2 linked regions of the Caenorhabditis elegans genome follow. The protein of the gene in region 1 interacts with the protein of each later gene in a biochemical or structural test. Each region holds a gene or a part of one and is shown on either strand. Other genes may lie near its edges. The genes, in order: ubc-20 and ubq-2.

Evidence for each region.
Region 2: of the proteins of ubc-20 (region 1) and ubq-2, one has a biochemical effect on the other in vitro, tested with the Caenorhabditis elegans proteins (one study listed by BioGRID).

Annotation. Positions count from the first base shown.
Region 1 is NC_003281.10:186,958-190,881, forward strand, and holds the start of ubc-20 (UBC core domain-containing protein), read left to right. Parts: upstream 1-1,880; 5' UTR 1,881-1,883; coding exon 1,884-2,003; intron 2,004-2,055; coding exon 2,056-2,151; intron 2,152-2,218; coding exon 2,219-2,301; intron 2,302-2,357; coding exon 2,358-2,484; intron 2,485-3,444; coding exon 3,445-3,618; 3' UTR 3,619-3,924. Other genes in the region: mxl-2 (Max-like protein homolog 2), read right to left, coding at 65-238, 293-458, 837-922, 976-1,167.
Region 2 is NC_003281.10:12,977,455-12,980,839, reverse strand, and holds ubq-2 (Ubiquitin), read left to right. Parts: upstream 1-2,316; 5' UTR 2,317-2,318; coding exon 2,319-2,457; intron 2,458-2,534; coding exon 2,535-2,621; intron 2,622-2,670; coding exon 2,671-2,831; 3' UTR 2,832-2,877; downstream 2,878-3,385. Other genes in the region: frg-1 (Protein FRG1 homolog), read right to left, coding at 728-973, 1,028-1,538, 1,598-1,665; ZK1010.2 (DUF155 domain-containing protein), read left to right, coding at 2,978-3,385.

The sequences.
Region 1 (3,924 bases):
AATTTCATTTTTACGCGTTGAATAATACATTTGTTGATTAAAAATCTGGAAATTCTTCTCAATACTATGGCGAAGTGAAGGGCATTGTGACCATTTTTCCGGCTGTCGACTTGAATGGCTCCGCATTTGGCGCCAGGCTCTCCACCCACGACAGGAGCGTTCTGGTGATCGTTGCGTACGTGGTGAAGTCCACTTGGGAGGAGAACGAGGTGAAGCAGTCGTCGAGGAGAAGTTGGAGCTGAAAGTTGGAGAATTTCGACTTAAAAATCTGGAAATTTCAGTAAATTCTAACCATTTTGACTTGAATCGTGGACTGGCCGGCGTCAGGAACCGAAGAAGCCATCTGCTCGTACTCTGAGGCAATCATTTCCAGTGCGGCCGCTTGTGCGTTGAGCTGGGCCAGTTGCTTGTCGGCGTCGGAGATGTCGGTTTTCAGTTGGGACATGAAGTCGCAGGCTCTGGAAATTATTGAATTTTCGGGGAAATTTGCAGAATTTTGAAGGTTTTTAAGCAAAAAATGGGCTTAGCAGACTGGAATTGTGATTTTTCCCGCTGAAAAACACGAAATTCTTGAAAAAAATCGTGCTTTTTAATGTAAAAAACTTGAAATTGTCATCAAAATTCGATAATTTCGCAATTTGGGTATGCTAAATCCACGTTGGTCTGCTAATTATTTAGCAGACCCAACTATGGTCTGCTAATTATTTAGCAGACCCAAGTATGGTCTGCTAATTATTTAGCAGACCCAACTATGGTCTGCTAAATATTTAGCAGACCCAAATTTTTATGTTTTCCAGTTATTTTTCCTTCAATTTTTCAGTATTTTCAGCCAGTACCTGAATAAAATCGCGGCGTTTGTAGTTTTACATCCCAGCGAAGTCGTTGTCTGAGGAATTAAATCCTTTAAATCACTGTATCCGCTCTGAAAAGTTGAAATTTTAGCTTTTTTCCACGAATTTCCAAGCTTCAACAAACATTTATAGCTTCTCTTCGCTGCCGTTCACACCTCAAGTGCGTCGCCTTCTTTCTATCCGAGCTAAATCCGCCGGAATTCGTCGCTGGCGTGTTTGGGGCCGATGGGGAGCTCGCCGAGCCGTCCGGCGACATTAGGTCCATATCGTCCGGCTTTTGAGAGGAGCTGGCAGCTGCGGAACGGCTTCGAGACATTTTTGGGCTGAAAAACAGAGAATTTCAGTAGAGTAATTGGGAAAAAAACGAAGAAAAACGCGGATTTTTGAAATTTGGGTCTGCTGATTAATTAGCAGACCTAATTGTTCCCTGGCAAGATTTTTTTTGAAGATTTCAATCAATTCTAGATATTTTCTGAACGGGTTTCTCAATAAACAAATGGAAATTCCCTCTAAACCTTGAGAAAATTAGAAGTATTTCGGCAAAAACGTTCAATTTTCTTTTTTGAGAAAAATCATGATGCAAAAACTAAAATTCCTATAAAAACTTAATCAATCTGTGAATCGATACTTCCGATCACGGGTTTGATCGTTTGAACCCGTTTTTTCTCGGCGACAACGATGCTCCGACTTAACGCACGGTTTTCTCCGGTTTTTCCGGGTTTTTGTTCAATTTTACTGTGATTTAAGCAATTTTTCGCATAAAAATTGGTTTTTCAACATTTTTCTACATGATTTTTGATTTTTATTCACGAAAAACGATGAAAAATCGATGAAATTCGGGGAAAAACAAAAATTTCAGTTGCAAACGATGCTCCGAAATTCCGCGGCGCGCCCTGTTTATCATGAGTTGGTGTTTGAATAATTTTGATGATAATTTCAGACTTTCTCGAAGCTTTTTCGATAATTCCTTGAACTTCATGATTTTCGTCGATTTTTCAGAGTTTTTCCACTATTTTCCATCGTTTTCAGACCATGTCGAACATAGCATTCAACAGACTCCAACGAGAATGCAAAGAGGTCGTCACAAACTCGGAAATCAGCGAAACCGGAATTATGATCGAGATATTGAACGAGAATCTCACCGAAATCAAGGTAAAACGCCGCGAATTGTGTGTCGGAAATCTCAATTTTTATCGGTTTTCAGGGACACATCCGCGGTCCACCAGACACTCCATACGCCGGTGGAATGTTCGATTTGGATATTAAGATTCCAGACCAATATCCATTCTCGCCACCAAATGTACGAGTTTTTCTGCCTGGAAAGCTTGAAAATTGTCGAAATTTGTGTAAAAATCGCGGTTTTTCAGGTCAAGTTCAGCACAAAAATCTGGCACCCGAATGTCAGCTCGCAGACCGGCGTCATTTGCCTCGATATTCTTAAGGATCAATGGTAATATTGCGATTATTATTTTAAAATCGGAAAATTTAATTTATTTTCAACTTCAGGGCCGCTTCGCTGACTCTTCGCACGGTTCTCCTGTCGATTCAGGCGTTGATGTGCACACCGGAGCCCAAGGATCCTCAAGATGCCGTCGTCGCCAAGCAATACATGGAGAAGCCAGCAGTTTTCAAGGTAGCAGCGTGGAAAATTCAGAAAATTCGCGGAAAAATGGGGAAAATATTGCGAAATCCGATTAAAAAATCAATATGGGTCTGCTAAGTAATTAAGTAATTAGCAGACCCAAATCTTCCCTTATTTTGTGTGTTTTTTTGCGTATTTTGCCCCAAAAATTATCTATAATTTCCCATTTTTCAGGCCAACTCGAGTTTTGAAGCGTCAAAATTGAGAAAATTCGATGGGAAACGTGCAAAATTCGTTAATTCCCGAATTTTGGAGACAATTCTGACTGTTTTACACTGAAATGCACGATTTTCTCGGAAAATTATTGATTTTTGCCCTGAAATTTCAGAATTTGGCCGATTTTCTTTAGAATTTGGGTCTGCCAACTAATTAGCAGGCTTGTAGAAACGCCACGTGGTTTTCGATGGTCTGCTAAATATTTAGCAGACCCAAGTATGGTCTGCTAAATAATTAGCAGACCCAAGTATGGTCTGCTAAATAATTAGCAGACCCAAGTATGGTCTGCTAAATATTTAGCAGACCCTAATCCCGTATTTATCCTTTAAATTTAGTTTTTTTCGCGGAATTTACTGGTTTTTTCTTGTTTTTCAACCAGGAAATCGTTCAAATTCATCACTTTTTGTCCCAGAAGCCGAGAAAAATCAGTTTTTCAGCTCATATCGAAATTTGTTTTTCAAAAAGAAATTATAAAAAAGTTTAGCAGACCCAAAACTCAACAAATTTGGCGAAGTTGTTTTTAGTCTAAAAACTCGAATTTCCCCGAAAATTCGTTGTTTCCAGTGAGTGTAAAAACTCGAGAAATCTCAAAAAAAAAATTGGTTTTCATTCGAATTTTCTCAATTTCCACGCTTGAAAACTTTAGGTAGCCTAGAAAATAGACAAACATAGACAACATAAACTGAATAATAGCCTAATATGCTCTTAATATACTAAATTTCCACCATTTTTCAGGCCACCGCCGAGTACTGGACGACAAAATTCGCAAAGGGAGCCGTGAAAAACGCCGGATACCAGGCTCTCGTCGACAAGCTCAAGGATATGGGAGTCCGTGAGGAAGAGGCTGTCAGCGTGCTCAGCTGCAACAATTGGGACATCAATCGCTCGACGGTCTACATTTTCTCTTAAATTCTTTTTTATTCGATTTTTTTGAATTTTTTCTGTGAGCCTCTTGTCTTGAAGTTTGTGTCCTAAAAATCCCTTATTTCTTCCATTTTTTTCCGAGAAATTTTCGTCCCCAACCCCCCGCACCACTGGTATTTCTTTTTACCAATTCGTACCATCCTCACCCCAAAAAAACCGATCAGAATAGTAGATTTTCCGCCTGATTTGTGTGTGTTTTGCCTATTTATTATCGATATTATTCATTGAAATTTCCCCCCTTTGACCCCCATTTTTTTTGCAACGATACTCTTTCCATGAATTATATTGACG
Region 2 (3,385 bases), about 13 Mb from region 1:
AAATTGCTTTGAAACGTCACAAAAAGTCACAAAATTGGGTCACAATGACCGAATATCATGATTAAAAAAAAAATCAAAAAAATGTTCTAGATTTTATATGATTTTTTGAAAATTAGAAAAATCTCAGTTTTCCCCCTAATTCCTATTTGAATTTCCGCCAATTGGATTTGTTCGATGGAGCGCGCTTGCATTATTTTAGTTAATTAATTTTTATTTATTCTCGTTATTTGACTGATTTCCTTCATTATTTGTGTATTTTTATCTAAAAAAAGAGAGAAAAATGCAAATCGTTCATTAAAAAATCACTGAAAATTGGTAAAACTTGTGTGAAAAATGCTAATTTCAGACTTGTTGTCGTCGGAACTCATAATTTTATAGTTTTACGCATTTTCAGTGATGTTTTAATGAACAATTTTCATTTATCTTGCATTTTTCTCTCTTTTTCCAATAAAAATACACAAGTAATAAAGGAAATCAGTCAAATAACGAGAATAAATAAGATTAAATTTTAAAAATAATGCAAGCGCGCCCCGTCGAACAAACTTAATTGGCGGTAATTCAAATAGTGAAAACTGAGATTTTTGGTGGCCCTATAAGAGCTCTTATAAGAGTATTTTAAAGCAATTTCCCCATTGACGATACTCCATCCTTAAACAAAAAAAGAAAGTAAAAGAATAATTATTAGAGAATTTATTGAATTTTACAGAACAAATACAAGTGAAGATTATTAACAATATCGATCAGATTTCATTTTCATCCGTCTGTCCAGCAGCAGCTCGTGTGCACTTCCGTCGGCCTGCGCTTTCTTAACTCCTTTCTTGTCCTTCACGTCAATCGCAATATGTCGGTTCTTGAGATCAACCTTCGAGTGCTGATACATCTTCACGTAGGCCGTCTCACACTCCCGAGCGTTTTTGCGGTCTTCCACAGATCTCCAATCGACTGGGCCTTCTTGTATAGCGTCTGTACGGATCTGGAAATTGAATTTAATCGGATTTTATCTATTTATATCTAAATTAGCACTTACATTAACCATTTCATTCTCCGTAGCGGTTCTACTAGCCACATAAATATGCCCCTCTTTATTTGGAACTGTAGAGAGGAAAAGTGGTGAGGAGACGGCTTGGAACGCGGTTTTTCCCTCCTGGAAAACCAACACGAATTGCTCGCGGGATCCAATAGCTTCAGCCATGGCAACCAATTGATATTCGCTGTCCACTCCAACATATCTTCCGAATCCTGTCTTCAAACTGATTTTACTATCGTCTGGAGTTTTGACGAGCGCGAAAATTTCCTCAGGATTCGGGCCTTCTCCCTCCGGATGTGGAAATCCAATTGTGAATTTTCCGTTGTCCATTGCAGCGACATAAGTTCGCGTTGAGCCGGCTCCACTGGCAACTTCGATGGCGACGTTGGTTCCTCCTTTCATATCGAATTCATCGGCAATTTTGCGCCAACCACCATTTTCGACGGTGTCTGGATCGATTTTCTCCTTGTCGTCTTTGTTCTTCTTCTTTTTCTCCTTTCCCACTTTGAATCTGCAACGAGTGAATTAATGGAGGATTTTATACACTTTAAACTTGAATATGTCACTTACAAATTCTTTTTTCCGGCTTTTAATTTCAATCCACCACCTTTTACAGCACTGTAGTCAGCGCCTGGCATTTTTTGAAGTTTTCTGCAATAAAAAACAAAATTTTCATCAATAAAACTGTAAATTTCATAACAAAACTCGAAGAAATCAATAAAAAAACGTTCGAAAAACGTTTGAAACAAAAAAATAATATTCGAATTCTTCTCCCCCTTCCCGTAAATCCTGCAGCTCTCTACCGTACTTTCGCCGTCTCTCAATTTCGCGGCGAGACCCATCACCACGGCAATCCTCCATTTGTGTCGCTGGGCCTAAATTTTTTCCGTTTTTTTGCTCGATTTTCGCCGTTTCTCTGCGAAATTTTTCCAAATTTCTGTTCAATTTAATCAAAATATTGTTCTGGACGCTTGTTCAGCATAGAAAGTGGAGATTCTGTTGTATTTTAAGCTTGGAAAACGAATTTATTATGAAATTTCATTTTTTTGCTAAATAATTTCTCTATTCTTGAATTTTTACAGCTTTTTAACGCAAAATATTCTTTCCTCTTTGTTCTAAATGGGTAGTTACACACATTATGCGGTCTATAACGTCTTTTGTCACCTTTGAAACTAGTCTCTAAAGAAAAATCAATAATTTTTGCCCCTACGCTCTCCTCCAAATGTTTCGCTCTCGCCGTCATTTTCTGACAATTTTACTCGGTTTCTTTTCAAATTATATAATTTCAGTCATGCAAATCTTCGTCAAGACTCTGACGGGTAAGACTATTACCCTCGAAGTCGAGGCTTCCGATACCATTGAGAATGTCAAGGCCAAGATCCAAGACAAGGAGGGAATCCCACCAGATCAGCAAAGATTGATCTTCGCCGGTACGTTATTATTCAGACCTGATATATTCTTGAATTAATTTCCGGGCAAAACACCCAATATAATTTTCTAATTTCAGGAAAGCAACTCGAGGATGGACGTACTCTCTCCGACTACAACATCCAAAAGGAGTCTACTCTCCACTTGGTGCTCCGTCTTCGTGGAGGTTAGTTTTTTTCTAATGTTCAGGCATTGAGAAATATTTCTAAATTCAGGAATCATCGAGCCATCTCTCCGTCAGCTCGCCCAGAAGTACAACTGCGACAAGCAGATCTGCAGAAAGTGCTATGCTCGTCTCCCACCACGTGCCAGCAACTGCAGAAAGAAGAAGTGCGGACACTCCAGCGAGCTCCGCATCAAGAAGAAGCTGAAGTAATCTTCACTCGTTCCAGTCCATGTGTTGGCAAATAAATCGTTAATTTTAATTGAATGTCGCTATTTGTGCAAAACGTAAATTTCGTAAATATTGGATTTTTGGAATGAGATTTGTACATGGTAACAAAGAATCATTATAAAATACAGATGCTCAAATCAATACTTCGGGGAGCTCTAGTAGCTACAAAGCCGGGTCCAGCCAGGCGCCAGTTCTCATTCACAGCACTTCTGCGGAGCGAGACCCAGCCCAAAGAGATAATTAATCTGGAACGGGTTCAAGTTAGAAAGATGAAGAAGAGACGCCCAGTTGCTTCATCGGTTGTTCCAAAATCCCTACGAGAACCTTCAGTCGTCGCCATGGCACTTTCAGAATCACTGAACCTCAATGAGGTCATCATGGATGCACAGCTCAATGGAATGTATAATATAACTGCAATCGACGAGGACGCGGATGACAGCTTGCACTTTGTCAAAAAACTGGAATATACCATCAATCCAGGCGAACTCAGTGAAATTTTCGTGTTTCGAGATGGAGTTGTCGTTTTTTGGAACGTT